Linked DNA regions of Canis lupus familiaris. The protein of the gene in region 5 binds, or shares a complex with, the protein of the main gene of each other region. Links are inferred from orthologs where the notes say so. Each region holds a gene or a part of one and is shown on either strand. Other genes may lie near its edges.

The links.
Region 1: CHD5 (region 5) and MTA1 share a complex: the UniProt entries of both Homo sapiens proteins name them as parts of the nucleosome remodeling and deacetylase (NuRD) repressor complex. The link is inferred for Canis lupus familiaris from reciprocal best matches to the Homo sapiens genes CHD5 and MTA1.
Region 2: CHD5 (region 5) and MTA3 share a complex: the UniProt entries of both Homo sapiens proteins name them as parts of the nucleosome remodeling and deacetylase (NuRD) repressor complex. The link is inferred for Canis lupus familiaris from reciprocal best matches to the Homo sapiens genes CHD5 and MTA3.
Region 3: CHD5 (region 5) and MTA2 share a complex: the UniProt entries of both Homo sapiens proteins name them as parts of the nucleosome remodeling and deacetylase (NuRD) repressor complex. The link is inferred for Canis lupus familiaris from reciprocal best matches to the Homo sapiens genes CHD5 and MTA2.
Region 4: CHD5 (region 5) and CDK2AP2 share a complex: the UniProt entries of both Homo sapiens proteins name them as parts of the nucleosome remodeling and deacetylase (NuRD) repressor complex. The link is inferred for Canis lupus familiaris from reciprocal best matches to the Homo sapiens genes CHD5 and CDK2AP2.

Annotation. Positions count from the first base shown.
Region 1 is NC_049229.1:73,167,740-73,171,252, reverse strand, and holds part of MTA1 (metastasis-associated protein MTA1), read right to left. Parts: intron 2,566-3,513; coding exon 2,448-2,565; intron 1-2,447. UniProt on the Homo sapiens protein: Transcriptional coregulator which can act as both a transcriptional corepressor and coactivator. Acts as a component of the histone deacetylase NuRD complex which participates in the remodeling of chromatin.
Region 2 is NC_049238.1:34,301,610-34,305,680, reverse strand, and holds the start of MTA3 (metastasis-associated protein MTA3), read right to left. Parts: upstream 2,806-4,071; 5' UTR 2,746-2,805; coding exon 2,718-2,745; intron 1,053-2,717; coding exon 985-1,052; intron 1-984. UniProt on the Homo sapiens protein: Acts as a component of the histone deacetylase NuRD complex which participates in the remodeling of chromatin.
Region 3 is NC_049239.1:54,560,146-54,563,066, reverse strand, and holds part of MTA2 (metastasis-associated protein MTA2), read right to left. Parts: exon of another isoform or gene 2,866-2,921; coding exon 2,748-2,865; exon of another isoform or gene 2,614-2,747; coding exon 2,550-2,613; exon of another isoform or gene 2,366-2,549; coding exon 2,248-2,365; exon of another isoform or gene 1,926-2,247; coding exon 1,823-1,925; exon of another isoform or gene 1,623-1,822; coding exon 1,523-1,622; exon of another isoform or gene 1,465-1,522; intron 1,381-1,464; coding exon 1,192-1,380; intron 1,083-1,191; coding exon 1,008-1,082; intron 948-1,007; exon of another isoform or gene 874-947; coding exon 815-873; exon of another isoform or gene 640-814; intron 624-639; coding exon 526-623; intron 388-525; coding exon 248-387; intron 1-247. UniProt on the Homo sapiens protein: May function as a transcriptional coregulator. Acts as a component of the histone deacetylase NuRD complex which participates in the remodeling of chromatin.
Region 4 is NC_049239.1:50,472,599-50,476,797, reverse strand, and holds CDK2AP2 (cyclin-dependent kinase 2-associated protein 2), read right to left. Parts: upstream 2,711-4,199; 5' UTR 2,115-2,710; coding exon 2,033-2,114; intron 1,728-2,032; coding exon 1,627-1,727; intron 1,541-1,626; coding exon 1,408-1,540; intron 1,051-1,407; coding exon 983-1,050; 3' UTR 513-982; downstream 1-512. UniProt on the Homo sapiens protein: Acts as a component of the histone deacetylase NuRD complex which participates in the remodeling of chromatin.
Region 5 is NC_049226.1:60,557,562-60,561,074, reverse strand, and holds part of CHD5 (chromodomain-helicase-DNA-binding protein 5), read left to right. Parts: intron 1-3,009; coding exon 3,010-3,137; intron 3,138-3,513. UniProt on the Homo sapiens protein: ATP-dependent chromatin-remodeling factor that binds DNA through histones and regulates gene transcription. May specifically recognize and bind trimethylated 'Lys-27' (H3K27me3) and non-methylated 'Lys-4' of histone H3.

The DNA.
Region 1 (3,513 bases), on a different chromosome or scaffold from region 5:
AGCCCAGGTGAGGCGGCAGCAGGCGTGCACGCACAGTTCCAGGCATACTCGGCTCGCAGCGGATTTTCACCTCTGCAAACACAGCAGCCCCCTCTTCCCCCCGCCGCCCCGGCCTGCCTGCTGGGGGCTGGCGGAGTCTGATGATAGGCTCAGGGGCCGGGGGAGCCCCGGGACGGCTTGGCCTGCCGTGGGCCCCGGGCGGCCAGGTGTGACAACGGGGGTGCCAGAGGCTGGCTCTGGCTTGGATCAGGCTCCTGAGGCAGAGGCAGCCCGGCAGCCCGGCAGCAGCAGTGCGCTCTGCGACCAGGACACGGGACAATGGCTGCATCCGGCGTGGGCATCTGCCCGCCGGGACCCCTCGCAGTGCCAAAGAGACCACAGTTCAGTTTATCCTCTTCCAGGAGGGCCACCACCCCCGGCCGCTCTTCAGCCTGCAGACGCCAGAGTCGGGGCTCGTTTGGGGGGCTGTGTCCTGCACAGCTGGGGGCAGAGCCCCACAATCCGGCAGGCACGACAGCTTCTGATGAAGCAAACTTGCTCCCAGAGGACAGGGCGGCCGGTCAGGGGACACCTGGGGAGAGCCCGCGCCCAGGGCAGCCAGCCAGCGTGTGCAGGACGCCCACGGCCACGCTGGCCAGCCCCCCGCGCCAAGGGCACGTCCTCAGGCAGCCCAGGCCCGCAGGCTGCACACCCGCAGGAGATCCACTCAGCTCCTGTGCTGCGGCGACAGCACGCTCCAGGCCAAGGGCGGGGACCCACACGGCGTGTCCCACTGGTCAGTGCCCAGCAGGCCGGCCAGGGAGCCTGTGCAAGCAGGTGGCTTGAGCGGGGCCGGTCACCAGAGACGCGTGTGCTCCCTCGCCTCGGGGAAGGTCGAGCCTCGCGGGCCCACCTGGGGTCACGGCAGGAGGGCCCCACACCGCAGGGGCGCGACGGTTATCCCTCCCGGTCGCCCCTGGAGCCTGCGGCACAGGCTGACTGCGGGTGGGACGTTCCTGGTCGTAGCCGGTGTCCCTCCTGGGGGGCCTCTGCCCTGAGGCCCCTCGCCAGGTGTCCAACCCCTCCCGGCCTCTGGAGTCTGAGGGCCATGGCCAGCACCAGCCACCGCCAGCACGTCTGTCCCGCCAGCCCAAGGGACCCTGCAGGCCCCCACGCTGCACCCACTTCAGTCTCCAGCGTATGAGTGGTGGGGCACAGTCCGTTCCCTGGGAGGGTCCCGGGCTCCAGGGGCCACCCTGTGCCCGCCCTGCTGCAGGTTCGCTCGACCAGGCCCGGGCCCCACACCCCGAGGCAGCCCTCACAGCCTCCTTGGGGCCGCAGCTCAAGGGTCTGAGGCGGCCGCTCGGAGGAGCCGAGGAGCCCTCTCCCTGGCACCAGGTCACTGCCCGGGAAACCGAGGCCCTCTGACGTTCGGGCCACTCTGGGTCCTCCTCTGGCCGTCACCAGACCTGTCACCCTCAGCCACGCAGGGAAGGCAGCCTGGCACCCGCCGCGGACCTGCCACTGTCGGATGGGCCAGCCGAGCCCCGAAGGACGCCTGGTCCCCGGCACCAACCACGCCCACAGCAAGGGGATGGGCCTTGCTTGCTCCTCAGAGGCCGCCAGGGGAGCCGGCGTGAGCAGGCAGGAGGAGCAGGTGCGCTCGGGGACCCCACGGGAGAAGAGCCAGAAGGGGGACGCAGGGCAGAGGGCCAGCGGGCCAGGAGGGCAGCCTCGCCACACACGGGACAGAGGGAACCTGCGTGCCTCCGGCGTGGCTCCTGCCCCGTCCTCATCTCCCACCGGCGGGACCACAGAGAGCCAACAAGCCAGCACGTGAGCCCATTAGCGTGACGGCGCACACGTGCCTGTGCATGTGGTGGTCACGCGGGCGCGGACAGGGCGGGGGGGCGGCACACAAGCCAACACCAGACCGGCCTCAGGGGGATGGAGCATCACGTCCAGGGAGATGCAGAGGCCACAGAAAAGGGAACCTGGGTGCTCAGGAACTGTCCTCGGATTAAAGCCAGGACCACAGACATCGGGAGGGAGGCCGGAGCCCGGGGCCCTGGGCTGGGCTGGCGGCCGGGCAGGCTCCACGGGAGCAGCTCAACGAGCAAAGACCTCAAGATCACCAGGGCCAGCGGGCCTATGTCGGGGTGACGAGGGTGGTCTCAGCAGCGGGGCGGCAGGGGCGGCGCCTGCACGCGCCACGCCCGGGCGCACTGAGCCACGTACAGGCTCCAGCTCCTGGGACCCAGCCCCAGCCCCAGCAGGTGGCTCCCAGCTGGAGGCAGGACGCACGGCTCCTCCGACCACGACCACGACCACGGCCACGGCGGGCTGCGCAGAGTCACCGGCAGCACCGCCCGGCGGCGGAAGTTGGCAGCACGGGCAGAGACTCATTCAACAAGTTTCTTTGGAGAAAAAGCTCAGCAGGGCGCCCGAAGGCCGCGGGGGGCGCCTACCTTCCTTCAGCAGGTCAGTGATGTCCGCCTGGTAGCGGTTTCCCACGCGGATCTCCCCCTTATCGGCCAGCAGGGTCTTCTGCTGGGGGTCGTAGACTAAAGAATAGAAGAAGAAATCCTGAAAGACAGCACACAGGACGGCGTCAGCAGGGCGCCCGCGGCCTCACTGAACCGCCGCAGGGACCCGGGCCCCGGCCAGCCCGACCGTGGGGGGTGGGGGGGGCGCTCGACAGCGACAAAAACGCTCCAGCGCGGCTCGGAGCGGCTGTCACGGGAGATGCCCACGCGGGGCCACAGAATGTTCCGGGCTCGATGCCCCGGGCTGCAGCGCAGCAGCCGCCCTGCGTTTCTCGCCCGTCCTGGGGGCACACCCGGCCCTCCTGACCCCAGCCCCGCACGGAGCTCTTAGAATCTGTGTTGAGCGGGTTGGGCTGTTCTCCCACGGCTGCAGGTCCAGGTCACGAGCGGAGCGCCCCCCGGAGGCGGGCGACCACACTTCCAGCGCCTCCTCCAAACGCCTGGCATCTCCGTCCGCCCTGCGGGATGGACTGTGGGCTTGGCCCCTCCCGGCGGCTGCTCCAGCTCCCGACCCCATGTCAAGCCATCGCGGGACCGCACCACCGGCTCTCCTCAAAGCCACGCCGCTCGCTTCTGCACGCCGTTCCCGGCCGCAGGCCAGGCTCCGCGCGGTGGGAGGGGCTGTGGCTGACAACGAGGCCGCCCCTCAGGCCTCCAGCCCCTGCAGGCCCCACCTGGCCCCCCAAGGCCCGCGTCCCCGCATCCCGAATGCAGGCTCCGCCCGGGCCATGCAGCTCCCCAGGGACACACGCGCTGTCTGGAGACATTTTCGGCTGTCACAACCGGGGGCGGCATCGGTGGGTCGTGTCCTACAAACGCATGCGGTCCCTGCTCCTGTGTGTGGGATGAAAAGGCTGGCTCCACGGCCCCGAGCCCCTGACAACTCGTGTTTTTGGTTTTAGACTCAGAAACCCTTCCCGCCGCCTGGGCGTCCTGGCTCCGGCCCCATACGGTGAGGGTCCGAGGTGCTGGCCTGCGGCGGGCTGCG
Region 2 (4,071 bases), on a different chromosome or scaffold from region 5:
AACTACAACAGAATTTTTATAGATGTAAGGTCCATGGGGATGTCTCCAGAAGCAAACCAAGATCTCAGGGTTCATAAACCAGAAATGCCCTAAACCAAATCTTACATCCTGGGACTCAGAACTTCCCCAGTCTCTAGAAGGTACTTTGGAGGAAAGGTATTAGCAAGACAGCTTCCGACATTTTAACACTATGAACTCTCATAAGTAAAACAAATAATCTTCAAAGTTGGTTTGGAGGAAACCAGAGCACCATTAGTAATCCATGGTTCATATAGTTTATGGCTTTTCATATGCTACCATTATAATAAGCTCACCTATTGCAAACAGTCACAAAGCTTCTGCTGTCAGGCCTAAAGTAGGAAGCTACTTTACATTATAACAAAACTGTATTCTTATTAGTTGACCTAGTCCAAAATTTTACAAATTCGCTTCAATACTACATTTCCTAGCTTCCTCTTTCTAAAGCTGAAAGAGGAAAAAATAATTCCCTGAAAGAAATACAATTATGACTCTAAATATAAAAAGGGACAGTTACAAGAGTGACCTGCTCCGAGAAGATCTGAGCAACGTGAAGAAATCTGCAGATTTTTTTTTTTAAGATTTTATTTATTTATTCATGAGAGACACACAGACAGGCAGAGATGTAGGCAGAGGGAGAAGCAGGCTCCATGCAGGAAGCACGATGTGGGACTTGATCCTGGGACTCTGGGATCACGCCCCGAGCCAAAGGCAGATGCTCAACCACTGAGCCCAGGCATCCCAGAAATCTGCAGATGTTAAATATTCAGTAACATTTAATATCATAGGTAATTATAAAAGCAAAAGAATATTCAGAATCCTGCATAACTCTCTAATCTTCAATCTCTAGTTTCAAAGAGTCCAGGACTGAAAGTAAAATCACCTCTTATGCCCTTTACCTAATTACTCGTCAATGGAAAACAATTTTTTTTTAATATTAGAATCAAGAACACTTAGCGTTTATACCTTGTTGAGTTCTTCTATCCTTCTGATTAGGTACGGGTTACTGGAGGAATTCTCAAAGTAGACATAATCTGTAATTAAAGGAAGTAAAGACCTTAATCTTTTCAACAGAAAGTTCACATTTGTCAATCTATGACTTTCTATATTAGGCAATGCACATTCAAAATGAAGCACATAATTCATTCCCGGTTAAAAGCAAATTTAGCAATACAACCTTAATATATTTTCTCATGCCTACTATTCACAGACCCTTATTTTCCTGAAATTTTCATTTAACAATTAATGTTTTATCAAGCTCTCTGAGCCTTTCATGCCACACATCACTTCTTTAATAATAAACAAAAAGACTCCTCATCACCGAGTAGTCAGGGCTGACTAAACATGTGTCTTTCATGCTATAACTGCTTCCACATCTTTCCCCTCCAATCCAATTTACCCTGGAGTATGCTTCTCACATAAAACTATTGACCTAAGACAAATTCAGAGCATCTTGAAAAGCTTAGCAGCCCAAAGTACATTTCAATCACCAACTTAAAAAAAAAAAAAAATCAGGTGAGCAGAATAGGTAAGAGGAAGCACACTGACAAACTTCCACAGCTCTATCTGGGATGATTGGGGGGGGGGGGGGGGGCATGAAAGGGGATTCCCTTTCTGAGAGACAGAGCTCTCTGGAGATGGTTATCAGGATTTTGTTATGCTCTTTACCATATTTAATACAGATCCATTTGGGGTCTTGTTATAAAAAAAAAAATCACCGCAGGCTTTCAATAAAAAAGATAAAAATTTTCAAGTGTGGCTTTTCCTCTCCTGTAATAGGCTCACTGGAAACTTCCCACTGTGTGTTTATTTGAAAGGCTGGGCTGCATTGTTATTGTCTATCTTAGTGGCTCTTTCCGTCGTCTCTCTTCTGCAAAGTGGCCTCATTTGGCCAGGCCATTCCCACTACCATCCATCAGGAGCTCAGCTAATGAGCAGAGAAGACCAAGTCTCACACACAAACACGCCACTTATCTGAATTATTATTCTACCAAGAAAGAGGGAGGAGGGCGTCGTGAGTAGGGAGAAAGTTTGTTTGACCTTATTTCTCTTTTCTGCAGAGGGCTGAGAAGGCAGTCACCAGAGCAAACGTCCGGGCAGAGCTCAACTCCCCACCTCTGGCCGCGGTGCCCTGGCCCCACTACGCCCCATCTTGGGGGGGCTGGGCAAGAAACGGGAGGGGGGAGTGAGGAAGGAGAGGTGAAGGGCCCTATCCCCGCCAACAGGCCTGTCCAGCTGTGCCTGGCTGAGCCCCCATCGCCCCCACCCCCCGCTCCCAACTGAAGGGGTGAAGGAGTAGAGCGGGGGGGCGTCCCCCCATCCTCTCCAACCCCCCCACTGCCTGGAAGCCACGCAGGGAAAGAGCACCCCACTGGGGGCTCGACGGCCGACACCCAATGGGGGCGTCTCGGAGGGGGGCAGCTGAGAATTCACACCCCCAAGTACAGGCCCGGCCGGCCCTAGAAAACTGAGCGGGGGTGCGAGCGAGGGGGAAGGTGGGCGCCGGCCCCCGGCGGGCCACGGCCGGGGGAGGGGCGGGTGGCGCGGGTGGCGCGGGTGGGGAGCCCCGGCCCCTCCTGCGGGCCCCGGCGCCCCTGCCCCCCGCGCCCGCGGCCCCCGGCGGTTAGGGTGAACTCGCCCCGACCCCCCACTCCCGGAGCCCGCTCCCAGACGGGCCGGGTCGGGCCGAGCCTTCCTACCTCCGACCCGGTACATGTTGGCCGCCATGTCCGCCCGCCCGCCCGCGGAGCCCGAGCCGAGCCCCGCCCGCCGCGCCGCGCCGCCGCCGCCTCAGCCTCGGCCGCCTCAGCCTCGGCCGCCGCCGCCGCCGCCGCCGCCGCCGCCGCCTCGCCGCGGGGGGGAGGGGAGGGAGGCACCGAGGGGAGGGGAGGGGGAAGCGAAGGGGAGGGGACGCCGCGGGGTGGGGGCAGGTTCCCGCCCCCAGCGACGGGCCAGCCGGGCCGAGCGGGCCGGGCCGGGCCGGGCCGGGGGAGGTCGCTGCGGGGCCCGCGGGGACCTGGGGAGGCGGCGGCTTGGGGGCCCTCGCCGGAGGTGGGCGACCCCAGGGCAAGGGTCGTGGCCGAAGCGGAGGCCTGCAGTGGCAAATGCGGACCTGGAGCGGTGGGAGAATTGGGGTGGGGGCAGGGGCTCAGGCTCTCCCGAGCCCACACAGCCCCAGCCACCGTACCCTGTCACCTGGCCACCCGCAGACAGGTCTTCCTCCTTGCTGCGTCCCTGGGGAGCCCTTGTATGCAAGACCTTGAGCACGTGGGCGCCTGCCTCAGGGCAAACACTTGGAAACAAATAAGTGCGCCCAGCAGAGCGCCTGCCTCATGGTGGTGATGGAACCCGCATACCTTGGGGCCAGGAGGACCCTGGTGCTACCAGCTTCCCCAGGGAGCGTGCTAGCTGGAGAGAAGTCCAAAAACACTGACCCCCTCCCAAGTCACCCCAACTGCATTGACAGGTCTATCAAGTTCACCCCACGCGTGGGCTGAACAGAACCCACTCCCAGCGGAGGCCTGGCCTCTAGACAGACCCTATATCCAGTGCCGCCCTGCCAGGAAAAGAGGCCCTTAGGAAAGGGACCCTACTTATTCGCCATTCCCACCCCCTCTCCACAAAGGGGGAGATGGTTTCAGTCCCCTTACTGTTGATGGACTTTTAACTAGTTATGTGCCTAATGCTTTTGAATCATTATTTTCCCATGCCAATTCTCTAGGCAATCCCAGCATTCTCAGCCTCCATTCCCTCACAGAAACAAGCAAAAAAACAAATTGAATTGAATCTTAGCTGGCAATCCCCCAAATGAATGCAAACAACTTTTTAAAAAGCCAGCAGCACCTGACTCTTGATTTTGGCTCAGGTCATTATCTGGAGGCGGTGTCCAGGCACACACACACACCCCCCCCCATGCTCAGTGAGGAGTCTGCTTGGGATTCTCTCTCCCTGTCGCTCTGCCTCTCCTCCAAGTGCTCTCTCAAATAAACCTTGATAAAAATTTGTTTTAAATTGAAAAAATAAAAAGCCAATCCATTCCAAACTACTTCCAGA
Region 3 (2,921 bases), on a different chromosome or scaffold from region 5:
CGATCCCGGGATCACACCCTGAGCCAAAGGCAGACGCTCAACCACTGAGTCACCCAGGCATCCCTCCTGCCTGAACTCTTTATCACCATCCCAACCTACCAGTCTCCAACCATCACGGGGCACCCCCTCCCCACCCATACCCACATCAAACCATCACCATGGAAGGGGTTGGGTGCTCTGGCCTTCCCCTAAAGCTCACATCGATATGTTTACTGCTCTGCCCTGCCTGTTCCCCACCACTCCTTACTGTTGTGCCCCGAGCAGCCCCCTCAAGCTGGGTCGGGGTCTTCAGTCCCCCATATTTCTTCCAGTAGATCCAACAAGAAGCACAGAGGCGGCACTGCATGTTGGGTGGGCCCCAGGCATACCACTGGGCAGACTGTGTGGCTGTAGGAGCATGGAGAGAAGGGGGCAGTGTGGGAAAAATACTACACGAGAGTCCCTCAGGTCCTTGGGCCAGAGAGGACCTCACCTCCCCCCCCCCCCCCCCCACCCACAACATCCCAATCCTCCCATGGAACTCACTGTGGCAGCTCTCACAGGTCAGGCCCTTCTGGAATCCAGCCCCATTCATGCCAGGTTTCGAGCCCACAGAGATGATCTGGTTAGGATTTGGCTTAGTACTAATGGGAACAGTGTGGGGAGAAACCAGGAACTGGTCAAGGTAGAGAATCCATTTCCATCTCATCTCTATCAACATTTGACTCTTTGATCCTGACTCCTGCCCACTGCCAGTCACTGAGCAAAGCATGAGTTGGGGGAGATGGAGGGAGAAAAAGAAAACATGCAAACCTCCCCCACCTACCACACTTACTAGGTGGGGATATAGACTTGTTTTAGTTTGCTGTCTGCTTCAGCAGCTTTCAATCTTTTCTGCAGGAAGGGGAAAAAAAAAGAAAGATCAAAGTATCTCTGCAGGAGGATGTCATCAACTCCCAAAGGCAGAGGTGAGAAGGAGGTCCCTGGTCCAGTCTGCCCTGCCCTGCCCTGCCCAGCCCAGCCCATACCTGCTGAATATAGCGGTCTGTGGTTTTCCACATGTAGTAAAACTGGACTATGCTGGCAAGTGACTTCCAAGGCAGCTAAGGAGGCAGAGGGAAGAAAGCAGAGCTGGCATCTGGTCCCAGGTCCTGGTTCCCTTACCAGAGACGACAATCTCTTCCACTTCTCCTCCCAGCCCCATCCACTTACAAAGTCCTGGCGAATATCATTAAAATCCTTCCCATACTTCTCCAGGGCCTCCTCAAACAGCATAGCCTCTGAAGCAGACCATTCCTCCATCTCATCCCGACACAGCACCGGGCCCCCCTGGGGTACCAGGGTCGACATGGCTTTAGCCAAGTCATAGCCGTTCCTCTGCAACGTATCCATTGCATGGAACTACAAGGAAGATAGGAAACAATGCTGATGGCCTGAGCCCCTCCAACACCACAGCCTCAGAGACCCCTCCTCTCTTGTCCCCAGGCTCTGCAGGTCCCCCACAGAGCCCAGCCTGCCCAACTGCCCAGCCACATCTGCTCACCAAGGTGATATCTCGGGAAGCTGCAGCTGCACTCATGTGCAGGCTTGGCTGCCGAATGGAACTGCTACAATCTAGGGCTCTTGCAAAGGTGCCCACAGCTCTGAGGGAGAGATGGAGAAGCCAAGAGGAAAAGAAGGCATGATTGGGCTGAGGAACTAAGCCAAATAAGGAAAACACCCATGCCACCCCTGCCAAAAAAAACCCACTTCCCCCCCAAAACAATCAAGTCCACCTCTGCAAATTCGATGCAAGATGTCCACACCACCCCCAGCCCATCTTTCCCATCCACCCACCCCTCACCGGGCCACCACGAGAAACTGATCAATCTGCCGGTCTGTGAGAGGGTTGTCTGGGTCCCAGACCTTCATCTCCATCTTCTGTTGGTTCCGATTATCAGATTCTCCTTGGAAACAGGGAGACGGCAACATCAGAGAAAGGTAAAGGAGGATAGTAAGTATTTTGATACTCACAATAGCACTTCGCTCCTCCTTGGATTTTATAAAATTTTATAAAATCCTGCTTGGATTTTTATCACCACCTCAACTTTCAGACTTCTCTTCCCAACTGTGCCCATCTGCCCGCCTCAGGTTCCCAGGGTCCTGTCCTATCAGGGTGACAGCAGAGAGCCATGAAGACTATACAGTGTAAAACTCCACGGCATACTATTCATAGACACTACCATGTTAGATAACCCAGTAGCCATACTGGTCTGGTCTGTCGCTTACCCTCTGCCAAGCGATCTGGTATCTCAGCTTGGTATTTGCAACCAACTCTGATCTCTCCCTGATCAGCTAGAAGTGTCTTCTGCACAGGGTCAAACACCAGTGAGTAAAAAAAGCAGTCCTGGAGATGGGAAGAAAGGGTAAGCAGGCAGCAGTCCTCAGAGGCTGGGGGTGGTGAGGAGGATCCAGAGTTCCCAAGACAGGCGGTCAGCCAGTTGACCTGTGCCTCATCATGGTTCTACTTTCCTCTAGCCCCTTGGGACATACCCACCCCCCTCCTTCTTCTCCCAGCACCTCTTTCTCACCTCCTTTTCCAAGTATTGGCTCAAGATGTCAGTCTCATTCAGGAGCGTCACACTGCATTTCCCCCTACAGAAGAGAAGTCAGAAAACCCCGGGTGAGCTCCTCACTGCCTCTCCACAGCATCTCCAATACACCACCCCCTCCCTTGCCAGCTTCTACGGAAGTGCCTACAGGCCACAGTGGCCTTGATTGTCCTATACCGTATGTGGGTGGCTGGTAAGGATTCAAATTGCCGAGAAAGAAAAAGCTCCCGGTGCTTCAGCTGATGTCGCTGCTGCTCTGACACCCCTGGCTGCTTTGATTCCTCCTCAAACTCCCCTGGGAGATGAAGGAGGAAGAAGCCAAGTCAGAAACTAATTCAGAAAGAAGCCACC
Region 4 (4,199 bases), on a different chromosome or scaffold from region 5:
CCCTTGGCTCTGCTTCTCAGGTGCTGGAGAAAAGCAGCAGCAGTGCCCCCTCTCCTCTGAGAAGTCAGGACGTGTTCAGAACCTTCCAGGGTTGACTGGGAGGTTAAGATTTTAGAAAATTAAGACACGTGAGGGCCTGGCTTATATGAACTGACATTTCCACCCTGCCAGGCACTGACTGCCAATCCAGAGAAAGAACCCTCTAGGCCCGGGCTGGCGACAGTGCCCTCCAGCTGTGGAGGCGGCTAAAGCTCCAGGCTGCCCCCTGGTGGCACCACGTGTAGGAGGGTAGGGCTCACAGCTACTGGAGCTTAAGCCTTTTCAAGACTCAGAACTGTGAAGGCCCAGGGCTGGAGGAGGGCAGGGTCCCAGCCAAGTCAATGGACAGTAGGAGCCAGGCCAGGCCAGGTTCAGTGGCCCTGTCTCCCACCACTGCATTGCCCCTCTCCCCTCCTCGATCTCCTCTTTTCCAATTTCTTCCTGGCTCAGCAGAAGCACCACACTCAGAAAGATTAAGAGGTGAGAGAACAACTCCAAATTATCTTTTATTTATACAAAAAGGGCATATTTAGCAAAAGACACTGACTGAAAAAAGAGTCGCTATGGCCCAGGAGACAAGGCAGGGAGGTGACAGGCCTAGGGAGGCCTTGCTAGGGGAGGAGTCTAGGAAAGGTGGTGACAAGTCCTGGGTAAGTGCTGAGTGGTGGGGGCCACAGAAAGGAGCAAGCTCCAGTTGGATCAACACTGTTGGCAGGTCATGGGCGGGACTCACAGTGACCTCGCTGCTAACTCTTGAAAGAGTCCCAGTCAAGTGTTGTCGGCTGGAGTGAGAGCCGCCCCCTGGTTCCTGGAGGGCACCCACCAGGGGACACAGGACAGGAAGCCCAGGTTGGGAAGTGCAACTCGGGGTGAAGGCCAGGGAGAAGCAGGTGCTCTGCAGTGGCCAGGAAAGGTCCAGACTCGGCGGTGGAATTGCGTCCTGTTACGTGCGGGCGTTCCGCTCTGTCTCTGCCAGGCACTCTCTGACTAGGGCCCGGGCATGGATGATGCCTGAGGTGGGAATGGGCAAGTAACATGCAGCGACCCTGCAGGGTCCCACCCTCATCCTCCAGAGGAAGACCCTCCTTCCCCACCCCCTTTCCTTCCAGTGAAAGGGAGGAGGATGATAAAGGGCCTGATGAGATTAACGATTTGGCTAATCCTCAAATTTGTCCTTTTGAAAGACAAATGCCCTGGTCCTTCCCCCCAAACGGACTCAATTTCAATTCAATTCAAAACACCTCCCTGGAAAGTGACACCCACCCTTGTTTAGGCTTGGGTCACGCGGCCTCCAGATGTCCTTCCTTTGCTAAGGAAGGATTGTCCAGTGTTAGTCTCCTGAGCAGGGAGGGTGGAAGCCTCACTTACCTCTCTTCAGGCGCTCCATGGCGCTCTTGCTGCCAGCATAGGTGGGCCGGATCTCTTTACCCATCTCCTCTATGACCGACAGCAGGTCCGTGTAGGTGCTCTGGGAGCCCTGGGCGCCAGGTGGCTTCATTGCCTATGTCAAAAGAGGACAGGGCCATGAGCTCAGGGCCCGCGGGGACCTCCAGTCCCCGTCCGTAGGCAATCCCTCACCCCACTCACCTGTACATAGCCCATGGAGGGCGGTCCAAAGTCGTTAAACAGGGGCCTGAAAGGGGCAGCGGCTCCCGGCACTGAGCCCGACGGCGATGGGACACTTCCGGCTGCAACATGCGCGAGTAATAGGTCAGCGCGGGGCCGGGACCCGGCCTCCCAGCGTTCCAAGCCCCCGACCGGATTCGCCCGCTTCCCTCCAAAGGGATACTTCGCTCCAGGCGCTCAACTTCAGCGACAAACCCCTCCCCCTGCGCTCCACCAACTAGCCCTTACGTGACCACGCCCACTTCACAGGCCAGCAAACTGAGGCTCAGAGAGGGGAGGCAGCAGGCCCAGTGTTGCAGAACTCGGGCCGTGTTCTCGAGACCTCGACCACCCGGGCAGGCGAGCAGGGGTAGAGTCGGATCCTCACCTGTGGGGACCGGGGTGCCGGGCCCAGGGGTGCTGGAGCCGGGGGTGCTGCTGGGGGCGGGGGCGATGGGTTTGTAGGACATCCCCAACTCTCGGGTGCGGCGGACGCCGGCCGGCCGCTCCTCCGGGGTTGGCTGCTCGGCCGCTCAGCCGCGCTCTGATTGGTAAACCGGCCGCACGCCCCTGGTAAATAGAGCTCAGGCCGGAAGGGCGGGCGGGCACGAACGCTCTCTCACTCCCGATTGGTGTGCGCGGATGTCACTCGGGCCTCCTCATTGGCAGAGATCGGCCCCAACAGGCCGCAACCGCTGCTGATTGGTCTCCGCCTTTCGGACCTCGCACCTGTCTGCTCCGGATTGGGCGGTAGCTGACGCCCTACGCAATTGGCGAGTTCGGGGTCCGGGCCGGCGCGCTCTCAATCCGATTAGTCCCAAGGCCCGAGAGGCGGGGCCTTGGAAGCCGGGACCCGGGTCCGGTCGGCCGCGTTTTGCGCGGAGGGGTCTTCCCGGCGCGGGCGCCGCCTTCACGCTTCACTGGCGCTGCTCTGCACGTCAGCTCCGCACCGCCTGCTCTCGGTCCAGTTGGGGCTGCTATCACTGCCGGCGCCAGCACCGCGCGCGCCTTTCCACTGCACTGAATGCCGGAGGACGCAGGGCTTTGACGTGCGGAGCCCTGCGTCTCACCCCGTGCGCTTTTACGTCACCTTTCGCCGGCTCCACACCCTTTCCCCGGCCTGCGCATGCGCCCTCCTAAAGCTTCCGTTTGTTCCTATGGCAACGGGTCCCTCATCGACGCTGCCTCCGCGCCTCTCGGGTTTGCCTCGTCCTTTGGTCTAAGCTCGTGTTAGGTCCGAGGGCGGCCTCAAAGACCCCTCAGCCAGTCCTCCAAGACTCCGAGCCTGGGCCTCCTACTGGCAACAGCAGGATCATCTCGCCTTCGTTGAATTCTCGCCGCTCGCCGGGCCCTGTACCAAACCGATCTTGGGTGAGAGCACCAAGTGGAGCGAGGCTGATGGTTCGAATCTCACCCCACCGCACCAGCGATTTCCCCTTGGGCAAGTTACCCTAGTATGTTTGGGTTTCCCCATCGTAAAGATGCGGACGTTAGTAATAACTGTCTTACAGGGTTGTGTGGATAAATGAATATTCATAAGGAGCTTGTTTCATTGTCCTCTTTTCTTTCCATTTCTGCATCCAGACCCCTCCCCTCAAATTTCATTCCTCACCACCCTAGATCTTAGACTTTCCTCCGAACACTAACCCTTTCTCTTGGGCTACTTCGCCTCAAAACTATTCTGGCCTTGTGTATTCTTCATGCCCCAGGTCTGTAGATTTTCCTCCTCTCCGTGACATTTCATTCATTCGTCCATTCATCCAACAGGCATTTTCTGACTCCATCCTCCATCCTTGTGCGGGACACTGATGATATGGAAATGAACTGGCCGTGGCTTCTCTCCTCAAGGAGCTCCTGGTCTCAAGGAGAGACAGACAGGAAAGCAAAGGCACACAGCACAATAAGACAATGTGGAGACTGGTATACAGGATGCATTGGAACTAAGAGGAAGGAGCCTGCTTGGTGACATCACAGGAGTCTTTGCAGAGGAGGCAGCTTTCAATTGGCGAATGAACAAACTGTGATATATCCGTATAAGGGACTATTTATTCAGCAATAAAAGGAAATCATCTATCTAGCTCTGAAAAGACACAGGTAGGCATATTTCTAAGCGAAAGAAGCCAGTCTGAAAAAGCTATGCGCTGTATGGTTCCAATTGTATGACATTCTGGAAAAGACAAACTCATACATGAGGTAAACAGATTACTGGGTGCCGGGGGTGGTGAGGGGTAGAGTTAAATGAGTGACATCGGGGATTTTTTTTTTTTTTTTTTTTTTTTTTTAAGGCAGTGAAGTTATTTTGTATGGTAGGATTGAGACAGCCTCACTAAAGGGGTGGGGGAGTAAGGTGCTAATCTGGAAATGGGCGGAGTCTGTAAGTGAATGTAAAGGAGCTGCGGGTAAGCATCAACTTTAGTTGATGAAGCGGTTTTCTGTGGCAGTATGGGTTAACAATTGTGAAGCCACAGCACATGTACACTAGAATTGACAGTTAAGTCAGGATGGATGATTTCTTATTGTTGGAATAAGTAGTGACAGGTAAGCATGTGGAGGAG
Region 5 (3,513 bases):
AGTCCCTGGGGTGGTCTTTCCTGGGGCCCTCACCCAGGGTGAGTGGGATCCCCCCTTACCACTAACTGTGCCTTGAGGGGGGCCCGGGGCTGGGGGCTTGGGGAGCAGCCAAGGGGCACCAGGCAGGGTTGCTTAGCTATGACTTTCGAGGTCTGGTTTTAGAAAACTCAGAGGCTGTTACAGGAGATGTAGGAGGGGGAGATGGGGCCAGGGTGGAGATGGTGTAGGGAATCATGAGGTGTTGGGAAGGAGTGTCACAGGGCTCAGTCCTGGGATGTCCTCAGGGCTACCAGAATCTGTTCAGGAACCAGAAGGGTCTGTCAGAGATGGGGAGTGGACGGGGTGGGGTCCCTATCCTAGTGTGCCAGCTCTGGAAACTTCCTGGAGGAGGGATTTAATCAGGCAGATGGCCCTGAGCCACGAGGTCTTCTGGGAATGGAGGAGGGGCTCTGTCTCTGGGCAGAGGGTCTGGGATCTTATCCTCTGAGGATCGTTCTGGGCGTGGATTAGGGCTACCCTGTGGGGCACCCCCTGGCCCCGTACCCTCCGCCCCAGGCAGATATCCTCCTGCAGCCACCTGTTCATCCCCTCTGTGTTCTGATGGCCAGTTGGTCAGTCAGTGACCTTGTGCTCAGCTGGCCTTCCCAATTTGGGGGACTGCCCTGCCAAGGGAACGGGTGACTTGGGGGAGGTGGCAGGAGGGAGATGGCCCCTCCCGATTGCATCAGCCCGAGCTTCTTACATAACTGGTGCTGGGCATTGCTGGGGTACAGGGGTGGCTCTGCCCAGGCAGTCTCCCTGTGGCTCTAGGGGAGGTAGGGGCAGGTGTGGGGGTGAGCAGGTGTGGACAGACAGCTCTGTCACTACCTCCAGACCCCAGGATGACTCTGGGGGGGTCTCTGTGCACATAATTCAACTGGTTCAAAAAATCCATGCCCCTCTGGTGCCAGGGCCAAGAGGGACAGGATGGGACAGGGTCAACTTGTGCAGCTCTGCCTCAGCCTGGCTCCGCTCAAGACCTGGCCCACATTAAACTCCGCTTTGGGCTGACCCGCCACTGCTTGGCCCTGTGTGCTATAGCCCTGGCCAAGCCCTGGCAGCTGTGTCCCCCTGTGCCAGCCAGGACCATGAAGTTGGCCCTCCGGGGACAGCCAGCACTCTGGCCACCTTCTCTGCAGCAGCTCCCAGTCCTGCAGGGAGTCTCTCTCCATACCTATGTTTGCCCAGGAGGATGGGGAGTGCTCTGGGGCTCCAGTGTGCCCTGCTGCCTTCCTCCATGGACTCCTGGTGGGGGAGGGCTCTATAATACGGTGACCCGGACCTGCTAGAGGGGGGCCTCAGGACTGAGGGGTGCCCAGACAGTGGTGCAACCTGCACCTGCCCCTGGTAGGGACCAGCCCTGTAAGGCACTAGGGTAGGAGGCCTTGCACTTGGCCACTGGAGTCACCAGCGCCCTCTAGCTGCACCCAGAGGGTGGCGATGGGAGCCATAGGACCTGGGGGACTCTAGGGGACAGGGGTCCAAGGCGGGGGGTGGGGGGGCCCTGTTTGGAGGACAGGTGTGTCCATGTATGTCAGGGGATGTCTGCACTGTGATGTGCAGCTCACATGATCATTGACCACGATATGTGGTGGTAGGCTTCCTGGGGAGGGTGATGGGAGCTTTGTTTCTTTTAACTTGATTCAGTGGGGACACTGCGCCCTTCCCCAGTGAAAGTCTCCTGGGCACCCTCCTCAGGGGCACAGGGTGGCACACCCAATCAGGCTGAGATTCCCTGTTGTGTGTCCCCTCAACCCCTGTGGGGGTGGATCCCCAGTTGGTTCTTCTCTGCTCCCCTGGGTGCAGGGGCATGGGGTAGGACAGCCTGACTGTGGGTGCTCAGGGCCCATGGCTGGCATGGAGCGCTGATCTCTGATGGGCCCCTTTTGTGGACCTGGGAGGTTTGGTGGCTTTCTTCTGGATGGATCTCTGCTCTGGAGGACCCTCCCCACTCTCCCCTTCTTCCTCATCTAACACCACCCCCACCCCCAGGAACTTAGGGCTGGCTGCCCTTTCTCATTTCTGATTTCCTGAGTGGGAGCTAGGCCCCAGGGCCACATGTCAAGCCCCCTCCTTTTTGGAGGGGGGAGTAACATGAAGCTTGAAGCCAGCTGCACACTCACACCTGTCCCGCTCCCCTCTTGGCCTTTTAAATTCATGGAGGAGGGAGGGGAGCTCGGAAATCGTGGCTGCTTTTGGAAAACCCACGTGTGGCGGATGCAGCATCTCTCTGAATTTCACATCTTCCAGGGTGCCCAGCCGGAATGGGTTTGGCATCCTGCATGTGTGACTGGGGGTGCGTGTACTGTGTGGGTGTGTGTGCGGGTTTGGGCGGGAGAGGCAATGTGGTCTCTGATCCTCATTAAGGGGGAACCTGGCATCCTCTTCCTTGATCTCCCTCCAAAGCCCTCAAGGACCTTGCTTGTGGCTCTAGGTGGTCCTGGGGTGATGTGACCCGTGCATCCCCATTAGCCTTGCATTCACAGGCCATTTCCCAGCCACACCATGGGCAGAGGGCAGAAATAGGCCCTGACCCCTCCCTGGAGCCACCCAGAGATGGCTTCATGACTCTGTGGGGCTGCTTCCATCCTGGGGGAGTCATGCCAATGAGGATTCTTAATTAGCTGCTCATTTTTGCTCAGAACATTGTTGCTGAGCTCTATCTTGTCAGGGTGGGTGGTTATTGTCCATTTTACAGTGAAGAGAGGAAAGGTCTAGAGAAGTGGGGACTTGTGACACAGCCCGCCTGATATGGGACTCTACTCATTGGGTCTGGTCTGGTGGCTCTGAGGGCTTGGTAGGAGGCTGGGGCAGGCAGAGGCACTGTCCGCTGGGAAGGGGTGGCGACCGAGGTGGCAGGTGGATGCCTGTGGAGCTGGCTGACCCTCTGGGCCCTGCCTCTGCCTTTGTGTCTCTGGGGGCTCCCCGAGGGGAGCGCAGAGTAATCCCCTCCCACTCTGACTCCTCCAGAAGAAGAAGATGGTGGCCTTGGAGGCTTTGATGACTATTTCCCTGAGGAGCCTGTGGGCCTTCCCAAGAAGAAGAAATCCAAGAAGCTCAAGGAGAACAGGTCCAAAGGGAAGCGGAAGAAGAAAGAGGTGCGTGGGGTGCCCTGCTGGGGTCGGGCCAGCTGGCGGGTGGGTCCGGGCTCCAAGGGGTCTCGGCTACTCTGTCGAGGCCTGTGGAGAAAGATCTCAGCTGGGTTTGAGTGCGAGATGCCAAAAGCAGCGTGTCCTTTGTGGGTTGGATCTGAAATGCCCTGACCTCTTAAGCAGGATGCTCCAAGGTCATTTATCTTTATGCCACAGAACGTAGATCGTTTGGGACTGACAGGATCCTGGGATGCAGGGACAGACCTCCTGGTTGAGGCATTGACATGTCCCCAACCCCCAAGACCTGAGGCTCTGTGGATGTTGTGGGCAGAGAAGGGGTGGTGCTCGTGCCATGCCGAGGGCAGGAGCTTTGCCCCCGCCC